Nothobranchius furzeri: one gene and its partners. The protein of the gene in region 1 purifies or fractionates together with the protein of each later gene. This does not show direct contact. Links are inferred from orthologs where the notes say so. Each region holds a gene or a part of one and is shown on either strand. Other genes may lie near its edges.

Region 1 (3,648 bases):
ACTTTTTATATTTTACACATCCAAAATATTATCCAAGCAATATTTCAACGACTTTTCCAAAACTTTACAGAGGATATTATTTTTCATGAACTTTTCAAGGACCTAGAAATTGCATTTTCCATTTCCATAACTTTTCCAGGTTTTTCATGACCGTACGAACCCTGACTAGTGTTCTGTTATGCACAGCCCCTTTTTTCATGTCCTGCTGATGTTTCATATCTCACCTGGTGAACTCATGGGCCATGTCCTGAGAGAAGAGCCAGTTAGCGACGGCAGCACAGTCCACGATCTGGGTCCGGATCATTTTATCCACCAACACGGCGATCATCTGAAACCAAGAGGCCCAAACATTTAATTTCATTCAAATAAGTCATTTTTACAGCCAAACATCAGCAGTGTGGTGCTGTTAATGTGGTCTGGACCTGTGGGTGGTTCCTCCAAACTTCATACACCACTTTAAGGATGTGAAGCTTCCCGTCGTCACTGTCGGTCAGAGTTTTAAGAATCTCATGGAACCTAACAGCAGTAAAAACAACATCAGTCCTTTATTTATTTAAAGATTTCCAGAAATGTGTTTTACTAAATAAACCAAGTCAGAATTCTATACAGAAGACACAAAATGACACAAGAAGCCAGTAATGTCTAGGAGACCAGGCCCGGCGCTGGCCACAAGGCTAGCCCATCCTCTTATGGTAACAGTTGGACTGGGGGGGGTGTTTTTTTTTTTTTTTTTTTTTTTTGCTGAGGATCAGTGTCTAGATGGACTTTGTTCAACAGGCCCTAGCTTTAAAAGGGGTCCAATTCAGATTCCAGGTTCAGGGGCTCTTTTAAAGACAACAGAATGTAGTTAAAAGTTTTCAGCTTGTCCAAAATGCTGCAGCTAGAGTTCTGATGAGAATTAAAAAGAGAGATCACATCTCTCCTGTCTTAGCTTCCCTACATTGGCTACCTGTTAAATTCAGGATAGATTTTAAGATCCTTCTTCTCACATATAAAGCTCTTAATAATCAAGCTCCATCATACATCAGCGATCTGATTGTTCCATACGTTCCTAACCGAGCACTTCACTCTCAGACTGCAGGTCTACTGGTGGTTCCCAGAATATCTAAAAATAGGATGGGAGGCAGATCTTTTAGTTATCAGGCTCCTCTCCTGTGGAACCAGCTCCCAGCTTTAGTCCGTGAGGCAGACACCTTGTCTACTTTTAAGAATAGGATTAAAACATTTTTATTTGATAGGGCCTCTGGTTAAAATCTGATGTTAGCCTAAATCTGGACAAGTGGGGGAGTAGAAGGAGGTGGAGTGTACAGTCGGTAAAGACGGCTCTCCCTTGCCCTGCCTCCAACATGCCTACATCTAAATAGGATAGATTATCCAGAGTTAACTCTGTAGTTATGCTGCTATAGGCTTAGACTGCTGGAGGATACACTTTCCACACTTGACTACTTTCTTCTACAATCTGCTCTTTAACTGTATTATTTCCTGCAATTTCAGCTGTTAACTTTATTTTTTCTCTAAGTGTTTTTCTCCCCAGAAGAAGCTACAATGACGTTCTGCTGAACTGTGGTGGCCTCATGGAGGGGGCCATCGTCTAGCACACTGCTGCTAACCACTAATTCATTCTCCCTCTCCTGATAACATTTTACTTTCTTTGATGTTGAATGTGCTAATACTAGTTTACCTGTTGAATTATAGATTCACTAGGATAAATACACTAAAGTTTATCCCTCAGCAAATAGAATATTTACTAAGAAATCACAATATAACCATAGAAACATTACTTGGTATATATGGTGTGTGTGGATGTGTGTGTGTGGATGCGTGTGTCAGCTCTGTCTTCTCGATCCCCAGTGAGTCGCGGTGGATGGCTGCTCTGGAGGGTTCTTCCTGTTAAAAGGGAGTTTTCCTCTTCACTGTCGCTAAATGCTTGCTTAGTATGAAGATTGCATAAAGTCACTGACACTAGTCAGTGACTTTATGCAATTTGCTGGGTTCCTTATATAGGAAACTTTTCACTGATTGGCCTAATGAACTGACCTGTATTGGAATGTTTACTGTGTGAAGTGCCTTGAGACGACTCTTGTCGTGAATTGGTGCTATATATTTAAACTTGAATTGAATTGGAAAAAAAAAGAGGTTCTAACTCAGAAAATGGCTTGTCTGACCACCAGGATTTTTTAAACCCCCCTGCAGTTATTCTGGGACTCAGGGCAGGCAGATTTTAAACAAAATTAAAGCCCAAAACAGCTCAGGAGACCCTAGAACAGGGGTGCTCAATCCTAGACCAGTATCCAGCTTGTCTTTGTTTCCCTGCGCTAAACAGCACTGGCCCTGTGTTGGCAAAGTTGGTGATAGAAGCATAAAAAATTCAGAACATGTTGGTTAAAAACCCAACAGCAGCTATGGGTTGAACTTACTTGCCGAGGGCGCTGAAGGAGTGGCTGAAGGACTTAGCTGCCAGGTGGAGAAGGGTCTGCAGGAACACATCGATCTTCAGAGGGTTGAAGCTCTCCCCCTCATCTGAAAACAAATCAAACAGCAACAGAATTCATGAAAATATTCTACACCTATCTCTTGCATTAGCTTCTGACAGAAGTGAAAATCATGCATTAGCAACTCCACCACACAGCAGAACTCCTCCAGGCTTGTGTAAGTTGTGGAGATAAAACATCCACATTGCAAGTCAGTGGCAGAGTTGTGTTGTTCTTATCCAAACGAAGGAGAGATATCCAGAAATACGGAAATAAGACTCCAAATCTTGTCGTCTGAAGCTACTTTCAGTAGGCTGGGCTGCATGGTGGAACAGTGGTTAGCACTGTTGCCTCGCAGCACGAAGGTTGCAGGTTCGAAACTCGGCTGCAGCCTTTCTGCGTGGAGTTGCGTGTTCTCCCCATGCATGCGTGGGTTTCCTCCGGGTACTCCGGTTTCCCCCACAGATCACAACATGCCCTATAGGTCAGTGGTTCCCAACCTTTTTCCCAAGGGACCCCGTTTTTTACAAGTAAAATTTTTGACGACCCCCTCCCATTCTCTCAACCAGTACAAATAATATTAAGAAATGATAAAATTGTTCAAGCACATTTTAATATGCTTTGATTCAATAGATAACAGTAATTGTAGGCTCCAGTACAGAACAAAGTCATTAACAAAACCAAACAGAGCATAATGTGCTTGACAGTTTGTTTTACTTTTCTGAACACATTGTTTCTTGTAAACACTGATAAATCAATCATTCCTTTCAATAAACGTTTGACACATACACAATACACTGAGCAAAATGTACTTAAATGTGTATATTACTGTTTATACTAGATTATTTACTGTAAAGGCTGTGATTAATCAACCAGTCCCATCTTTAGTGAACTTTTGACACAGTGAGCTGAGCAAAATGTTCTTAAAAGTGTGTTACTTTTTCTGTACTAATTATTTCCTGTCTTAATATCAGTAAACTTTTCACTCATGAAAAAAAACGTGAGCAAAATGTAGGCTATAAACAAGTAATAAATGAAGTTTTAACCCCTTAAAAAGGAGAGGTCCTGGCGACCCACTGAGAGGATTTGGCGCCCCCTTGTGGGGGTTGGGACCCCCAGGTTAGGAACCACTGCTATAGGTTATAAATTGTAAGTCGCTTTGGATAAAAGCGTCTGC
Region 2 (4,310 bases), on another chromosome or scaffold:
TGGCTTTGACCATGCCTGCTTTCTTTGCCTTGGTGGCTGCTGGAGCTGGAGTGGTGTCCATCTCCTCTTCTTCAGAGTCTGGAGTACAAACATCAGATCTGGACATCATTTCCTGTCCCCATGTTTTAGATCACATGATCCTTTTAAATCTACAATGGCAAATCTGCAAAACTAACTAGTCTAAAACACTTTCGTGCCTCTTAAAGGAAGACAAAAATAGTTTGTGAAGTTAAAAATTATGATAGCTGACGGGGAAAGAGAGTTCGGCGACTTTTTAAAAGCTGGCCCGTTTTGCAGATTTGCTATTGCAGCTTTGACCAACATCAGATATGTAAAAAGTGACATCAACCACAATCAGTATTAAGTCCCTTTTTCTTCATCACACAGTTAAAGCTGGTCCAGCGTAAAGTTTCTTTGTCAATAATTAAAAACAATAGAGAATCAGGCTTACCATCTTCATCGTCCTCCTCATCGTCAGACTCCTCTTTAGCAGGCTGTGCTTTAGCTGCAGATTTAGCAGCTGCTTTGGCCGCAGGTTTAGCGGCAGCTGCTTTGGCTGGAGTAGCCTTCTTTGGGGGTGGAGCTGCCTCCTCCTCCTCTGAATCATCTTCATCATCGTCGTCATCATCATCAGAAGACTCCTTTGGAGCAGGTTTGGCCTTTGCTGGGGCTTTGGCAGGAGGCTTGGCTGCTGGTTTTGCTGCTTTCTTGGGAGGTGGGGCCTCCTCTTCAGATTCATCTGAACAAGAAACATTGAAATTGGGTTATTTTTCACCCTCACTTCTAGGTAAGATTCATATAGAGCAGAAAACAAAACATGAAGCAATGTAACAGCGTTTGAGGATAGAACCGGCAGACATTAAAACACACCGGCACCGAAGACATAGCGCTGCCTTTACTTTTCCTCCGTACATTACACACATGAGTACCAATCAACTGCATGCATGCCAAGAAATGGAGGGTGTGGGGCCACTTCACTATTCACTTAGTCAAAGTTAACAAAAAAAAAAAAAAAAGTCTAAACCACCACATACCATCATCGTCATCTTCGTCGTCGTCATCATCATCAGACTGCTCAGCCTTGGCAGGCGCTGCTTTCACTGCTGTGGCTTTAGCAGCTGTCTTTGCAGATGCTGCTTTTGCAGGTGTCTTTTTAGGTGGTGGTGCCTCTTCCTCAGATTCCTCTGTGGGTGACCACGAGATAATTTCACAAATCAAATAAAATTTAACTTTTAGAAAAAAATCAATTATGCAACTAATAAATTATGCATTTAGGTTTATAATTTAAAATAAACTTTCTTAAGCAGCTCGTTATGTGTAGGCTAAATAAGAGTACATTGTGTGAGTTTGACGGGGATATCCCTTGAAAATTATTTTATTATGACATCAATAGGACCTGAAAAACCTAAATTTTATTAGTGCAGCTCACCAGAATCATCCTCTTCATCAGAACTTTCTTGTTTTTTGGCAGGGGTACCATTTTTGACTGCTGGGGAAGCTTTACCTGCTGCTTTTTTTGCTACTTTAGGTGGAGGGGTCTGGATTTTAAAAAGAAAGAAAGTTCAGTTATTTGAATTCAACAAACTGATATCAGTAACTAAGCAAGTGTTATACCTCTTCCTCCTCACTGCTTTCTTCTTCACTAGATTCCTCTTCCACTTTTTTGGGGGGTGGGGGGGCTTTTTTCTTTTTAATTTGTTGACTTGCTGCCTGAAAAAAAAAAGCCAGTGTTAATCCATAAAAACTAGAAAGACTACACAACAGTCAAAACGAATCTACAGCTCAACCGTTAAGCTTAAGTATATCAATTCAAGTTCATCCAAGTTAAACAAAAATAAATACCGCAAATAATGCAGACTGACTAACCAATCGTGACATCCGTCCGCCTTTACAGTAAACTACTTTCTCGGTTTTGGTTGAACACCGCGTGTGTCACTCATAGCGTGCGCCCACCCACGTGGAGCTCGTGAAGCTAACATAAGGCTAGCATCTGGGCTACATTTCACCACAGACGACTAAAACTACAACAAAAATCAAACCGCTTTGGGTAACAAACGTTCGACACGAAGATTCCAACAGATAACGAAAAACAAAACCCTTGAATTCGACTCAAAAACGTGTAAAGAAGATGCGGACCACGTACTTAAAATGTGCAACGTGCTAATGCTAAAACGGAATAGGATTAAACGTATGTTACATTATTACAAATGTATTACCAGTAACGTCAAAACTCTACTTTCCCACTTTAGTTTAATAAAAAAGCTCAATTTTTTAATCACAATAAAACCCAAACGCTTAAAAAGAGAAACGGACAAATAACACGACGAAAACTCGCCTAGCGTTAGCAGGCCGAGCTAGGCCTGGAAAACCAGAACCAGAGACGTCGACCAAATACAGCATGCTTTACATATTAGGGGGAAAAACTACTTTTGAAGGATTAGATTGTTAAAAATGTTGTGAAAATGCGCTGTCACTGCAACATATGCGCGCACATTCCTAACTTTGACTGGTTTTATTTTTCCAAAAACGCAGCACCTTAAGCCAAAGGCCTCGTGCGCCAAAAAAAAAAAATTCAAGCACGGCTCAGCGCGGACATTTTGATGTGATATAGATTCGTCTTACCTTTGCTAGCTTCACCATGGTTGCTTCTGATGTGTGTGTTTCAATGAAACACTAATATCTAAAGGTTTGATGACAAGTACCAAAATGTCTGCTGCATGCACGTGGATCTGTCTACTCAGTGGGACATTGGACTAGAAAGACAGACGGGTCGCAGAAGTGGTTTCTCTCCAGCTCCGCGCTGTGACGTCTGCCCGCCCACATGACCATTTCAACCAATCGGAAATTGACATATTTGCCTCGTGCACGCGCCTCGCCTACGAGCCGTTTACAGACTGTTTTTTTCTCTACACCTGAGCAAATTTCATCTAAAAATACCATTTCCGAGATTATCTGTGTGTTTAACTTCCAAGATTTGTCTTCGGATAGTGCCAAAAAAGTGCAATTTTCTAAATGTTGACACAAAGACAATGCGTCTTTATGCAACTCCGTGCAGCTGTTTTCTTTTGGTCAGCTGCCGTAAACCATCGACCGCGTCTACCACGTGGTTCTAGCATAACCCAGGGTATATTCAATCAGTTTTTAGGGCCACGTCGAACGTTTCAACCGCCAACAATAATTTGCCTTTAATAAAATATATTTTGATCAAACGTTACCACAGTTTTTCAATTGTACCAGTAAAGAGGATATCGCCCTCTCACTTTTTTTTCAAATCTCTTGAAGAGTTTGGGACACTGACACTGGGATTTTACAGCAAATACTAAAAGGGCAGAGGCATTGTGTATGCCACTGACTCCTCCAACCTGTGCTAAACATCTGGAGAAGCTGAGGTCCCACCCTATTTAGAATAGACTATTAATCCCATTTTGGGGAAATAACCTTGTTACTGCAGCACATACACTTTTAGACAAGGAAGAAGAAAACAACAAAAGTACAGGTAAACACATAGGCAGTAACCTGTTCTTGTAACATTCAACCCTCAAAACAATGAATACAAATAGACAACTGGGTTTCCAAAAATATGCAGCATAAGAGACACAGATAATGTACGTCCAGTATTGCACAATACTGAACACATGCTGAAAATGATATTTTTATATCTGATTCTATCTGATGATATTTTATCTGCCTCTCAAGATAAAAATCACGAGGTGCTTCACAAAAACAAAAAAACAATTAAAGTATAAAAAGATTTCAAAAATGATTAAAAATATGTTTAAAAGGAGAAAAGAAAAAAATGTAAGGAAAGGGAGAGAGAACATTTAATAGGGAAGAGGGACATTAATGGATCCTGGGAAAGGTGGAATAAGAGCAGAATAAGGGGAGGGAGGTGATGAAGGTCACGCAAAAGCTAGCTTGAACAGGTGAGATTTCAGCTGTATTTTAAAGGAGACCACTGAGTCCACCAATCTTAGGCTCAGGGGGAGAGAGTTCCAGAGTCTGGGGGCCACAGCAGCAAATTATCTGTCACCTTTGGTGTTTAGCCTGGTGCGTTGCACAACCAGTAGGCTTTGGTCACTGGACCTCAGGGACCCGCTGGGGGTGTAGGGATGGAGAAGATCACCAATGTATGATGGTGCTTGTCCATGTAAGGCCCTATAGACCAGAACCAGGATCTTGAAATGAACCCTGAAGTTGACTGGCAGCCTGTGAAGCTGGAGGAGAAGTGGGGTGATGTGAGTGTGTTTGGAGGACTTGGTCAGAAGCCGAGCACAGGCTTTCTGAACCACCTGTAGACGGTTCAGGTTCTG
Region 3 (4,127 bases), on another chromosome or scaffold:
AAAACTGATGTGCGTTCTTTGCTGTTCCAGAGTCAGAAACAGATCGGCCTTACGCGGACAGATTATGTGCGTGCATTTGCTTGTGTGTTCCTGAATACTGTCGTGTGAATCTTTTCTCACCTTTCTCAACTCAACTGTCACTTCGTTTCGATGTCTTCTCATAGTCTGAAACGGGAGAAAATACAAAGAATGTGAACAAGATTATATAGTTTCACACTGGCATTTAAGTGTGATGGAAGTCTTACAAAACAACAAGAGATAAAAATGTAACATGTTACAATAAATGACCGTATCTTTGTGTTTGAGGTGAAAATCAACTCATTTTAGTCCAGGTGATGAGAAACTGTTTAATAGTTTTGCTGTATAAGTGCATCTGTTGGGTTTCTCGCTCATCCAGAGCATTTTGAGATGGTCTAAGATCTTGTGACTGTTAAAGAGGTTCATGTTGCCATCCTAAATAGCCTCTTACGTAACTTTGGGCTGTCATAACAGAGAAGCGGCTCCAGACCACTGCAAAACAATGATAATGCCAGGGGTACTGATCCGAACTAAACTGCTTCTTAAATACAGATGTGAATTATCACATGATTTCAGCAATGCTCACATTTCATCTGTCGAGCAAAAGATTTCAAAACTCTAATTAATGGAATACTTTTTCAATATTCAAAACTAAGATACTAAGTCTGGGTGTGGGACCTCATTCAGTTCAATAGGTGTTAAAAATGAAATGCACTCTTTTGCAGCTGACCTAAAACAAATTTGCTGTAGTCTGAGTCACCCACTTTCAAAAACCCAATTTCATGCCGAGGTTCTGAGAAGGACTGGGTCAGACTTCCAAGATGCCTGAAATAGCATCAGGAATGCACTTTGGCAGAGGCTCGATCCCAGTAGCCATGTGCTTGTCGAACACACACTTCCAGTTTCAAAACAACCAATACAGGCACCACTCTGATGGTGAAACTCCCGTCTGGTGAATTTGGAAAGGGCATTCTCAGACATACCTTTGTTTGTGGATTATCTTGGGATTACCGATAAATTAGAACAACACTAAAACAAGTATGTTTTTGTTAGTAATCCCCCCTGTGGCTGAGAGAAATGCCCTAAAAGAAAATTGTTTACATTTCACAGATAATTTGAACAAGTCCAGAGTAGATTAGTCATTTGATTTGAACATTTTTTAACCCAGAAATGATAGATTTGCTATTTTTTGTTTGTTTAAACTTGAAACAAATCCTTTACCAACTGCTTTGGCTACAGTGTCAATGAGCAATTTAGACAAATTCAGTGAAAGATGCAGCATTTTAGATATGCTAGTAGGTACACAAAATAAATCTAGTGTTTTCTAGAATGTGACTTACAATAAAACGGTAAACTACATTTAAATTTTTACAGAAATGCTGAGTTAGGGCATTTGTGATTCGACATAACCTTTTACTACAGGTTATAGTTAACAGAATGGCTAGCTTGTTATCCTTTGCTTTTGTGAGGAAAGTCACCTAATTTAATGGTGACTGAAAATACAAATATTTAAAGAAAAACAGATAGACACAACACTAGCTGCTCGGTTGGCAGGCTCGCGTTTGCATGCTAACGAGGAGGGGTGGCTAGGGTAAACGAGCACCCGTCACCGATCCACCCAAATCACACTTGTCCATATAATATTGATTATATGTGACGTTCTTTGGTTAGCATTTTTGTTTACAGTGGGGTGGCATAAAAAGATTGGAAATATCGCGATTTTGAAGCCGGGTAGGCCCCGCCTCGCTTGAGACCGGTGTCCATCAAACTAGCTAGCTAAAGTTAGCTAGTGTCGTGTCGAAAAAAGTACACCAGTCGCCAAAGAAACCCATCATGGGAAGCGTATTTAAGGACAGCTTGTTAGGATTACTTAAATTATCGTTACATTTAGACCTAAATTTGTAATATTCTTAACGTTCAGAAACGAGATAAGTTGCTTTAGTCACTGGGTAACGTCTATTTATGGCCAAGATTTTTTTAAACGTACATTATAGGGGGAAAAAAACAATGTACATTATGATGCATGATTTCGAAGACTTCCAGGGTAAAAAAAAAACTGCATCCTAGCAGCCTACCTCAACATAACTACTGCGAATACATCATTACAATCTAATTAACTGCATAGCTTTACAGAATAAACGATACTTGACTTATATGTGGAGAAAACGTGGTTAATTTAGTTAAGTAAAACAAACCATGGTTTAATTTATAACGCATTTCCGACTAGTGTGCTTTTAATGGCAGGGGTACCTTTTTCGTTAAAACACCGGCACTGACAGCTACATCGCCTGCCCTAATTCTCATAGTTCTAAAAGCCCAACTATGATCCAGCTTTCAGTCACAGTGGTTGCTGAGGTTTATGACTTATCCACGCTGAAGTCCATCACAGCTGTCGTCTTTAAGAGTTTAATTTTCATGTAATGAAATCTTTGATGGCGACCACCCTGTGGTAGCTTAGCTAACAGGCAGGCTGGGAAGTTTCAGCCGGGGCCAGGCTACCAAGCAAGGCCTGACGGTAGTCGGCTTTTCCCATCTACATTAAAATATTAAGATTAAAGACATTTAAACGCATATCCTCAAAAAGAGCTCACCTCGACATCACGTCCCTTATTTTTAAAGCTCTTGATGCGGTGGTTTTCCAAGCCGGCGTTGTCTGCCATGGCTGTACGGGGTTTGGATTTTACTCCGGCTGTCTGTATCTCCTCCGTGAAAGACGAGGCACGGCAGCTCCTGTGCTGCTGCGGCTGGGCTGGCTCCGGAGAGGAGGAGGAGATCGCAGAGTGGGGGGAGGAGTTACATCGGCTGTCCTGGTTTCCAACACCTGAGATCAAAGCAAGCAGATGAACTGGAAATTGATGCCATGGTGCCTAATAAATCTTTATTACAATAAAAAGTCGTTTGGTAGCTTTTTGGAAAGTGTGCACCCTTCTACGTTCTACATGACAGTGGATACTTCTCTCTTATTAGGAAATCCAAAAGAAAAGGGTTCAGCAATCAGTTTGTTACATTATGCATGAGTAGTGCTGGGCAACAAATCGAAAATGTATCATTATCAAAAATTCTGACTCTTATCGAGATCATTTTTCCCATGTTAAAAATTTGATAGTAAAAAAATGAAAAGATGTGTGTAAGTTGGCAACATTCATGTCCCTTTGAGTCACGTAAAAATTTGACTCAACGTCATACAAGTGAAAGCCCCATCTAGTGGACAACTTTTGTTTCTGTACATACCTGTAATTATCGTCCATTTATCGGTATCGAGGTAAAATCCTCGAAGTATCGTGATATTGATTTTAGGCCACATCGCCCTGGCACTCAGGTTGTGGAAAAGGACAACTGTGATTGGATTGCAGACTTTTAAAATATATTTTACAGCTGCCCTGGTCAAGGAGAGAGAACAGCTGGAAACAACGCTTCCACAAACACACAAAAAAACAATTAATTGTCAGAAATTAGAAAGGCATCAAACACATGGAGGTAATTTTGGCGGGGGGAGTGGGGGGGGGACAGGGAGACATGTCCCCCCTACTTTTTCCAAAGTCAAGTTTTGACCCCTGCACTTTTTACCTTCCAAAAACAATATTACGCTGTATTAAATTGACACTGGTTGAGCTCTAGGACCAAGCGGAAAACAACCATTTGTGTTGAAGCCTGTTTCCCATTAGAGCATACTGTAAAGATTCAATAAAACCCCTAAAATATTGTAATCTTTTTTTTTATTTCATCAATTTGAAAACGAGCTAAATTCCACAAACAGTATAGCTGCTGCCTCTTCCTGCACACAAACTCACCCTTTTTCAAAAGTTAAATTTGAACCCATCGTTTTCCCAATAAATTGGTAAGTTGGCACCTGATCAATGGTTTGTCCTTTTGTTCTGGTTGATGGAGTACTGATGGCTTTTCTGAAATCGTGTCCTTTGTTTTTCAGGTTGCAGATGTGTGTCTTAAAAGACTAAATGGCTGGACCGTGTCTGCTTGCATTTCTGAGCAGACCCACAATTACAGCGTCATCAGCATATTTTATAATCAAGTGGTTTTAAAAGGTGCTCAAAAAACAGCAAAGAACAGACACCAGCTCTCGCTGCTGGTTGCTTTACTCATTACTTTGC

What was found. The genes of interacting proteins can lie anywhere in the genome.
Region 2: the proteins of nuclear cap-binding protein subunit 1 (region 1) and ncl fractionate together in Homo sapiens (co-fractionation; 3 studies listed by BioGRID and IntAct, with this or other methods). This does not show direct contact. The link is inferred for Nothobranchius furzeri from reciprocal best matches to the Homo sapiens genes NCBP1 and NCL.
Region 3: the proteins of nuclear cap-binding protein subunit 1 (region 1) and kpna3 purify together in Homo sapiens (co-immunoprecipitation; 3 studies listed by BioGRID and IntAct, with this or other methods). This does not show direct contact. The link is inferred for Nothobranchius furzeri from reciprocal best matches to the Homo sapiens genes NCBP1 and KPNA3.

What each region holds. Positions count from the first base shown.
Region 1 is NC_091741.1:71,540,400-71,544,047, forward strand, and holds part of nuclear cap-binding protein subunit 1, read right to left. Parts: intron 2,521-3,648; coding exon 2,418-2,520; intron 517-2,417; coding exon 423-516; intron 329-422; coding exon 225-328; intron 1-224. UniProt on the Homo sapiens protein: Component of the cap-binding complex (CBC), which binds cotranscriptionally to the 5'-cap of pre-mRNAs and is involved in various processes such as pre-mRNA splicing, translation regulation, nonsense-mediated mRNA decay, RNA-mediated gene silencing (RNAi) by microRNAs (miRNAs) and mRNA export.
Region 2 is NC_091748.1:62,945,166-62,949,475, forward strand, and holds the start of ncl (nucleolin), read right to left. Parts: upstream 2,811-4,310; 5' UTR 2,641-2,810; coding exon 2,623-2,640; intron 1,711-2,622; coding exon 1,615-1,710; intron 1,539-1,614; coding exon 1,430-1,538; intron 1,185-1,429; coding exon 1,035-1,184; intron 962-1,034; exon of another isoform or gene 824-961; intron 740-823; coding exon 452-739; intron 79-451; coding exon 1-78. UniProt on the Homo sapiens protein: Nucleolin is the major nucleolar protein of growing eukaryotic cells. It is found associated with intranucleolar chromatin and pre-ribosomal particles. It induces chromatin decondensation by binding to histone H1.
Region 3 is NC_091754.1:26,747,714-26,751,840, forward strand, and holds the start of kpna3 (importin subunit alpha-4), read right to left. Parts: upstream 2,811-4,127; 5' UTR 2,679-2,810; coding exon 2,610-2,678; intron 166-2,609; coding exon 121-165; intron 1-120. UniProt on the Homo sapiens protein: Functions in nuclear protein import as an adapter protein for nuclear receptor KPNB1. Binds specifically and directly to substrates containing either a simple or bipartite NLS motif.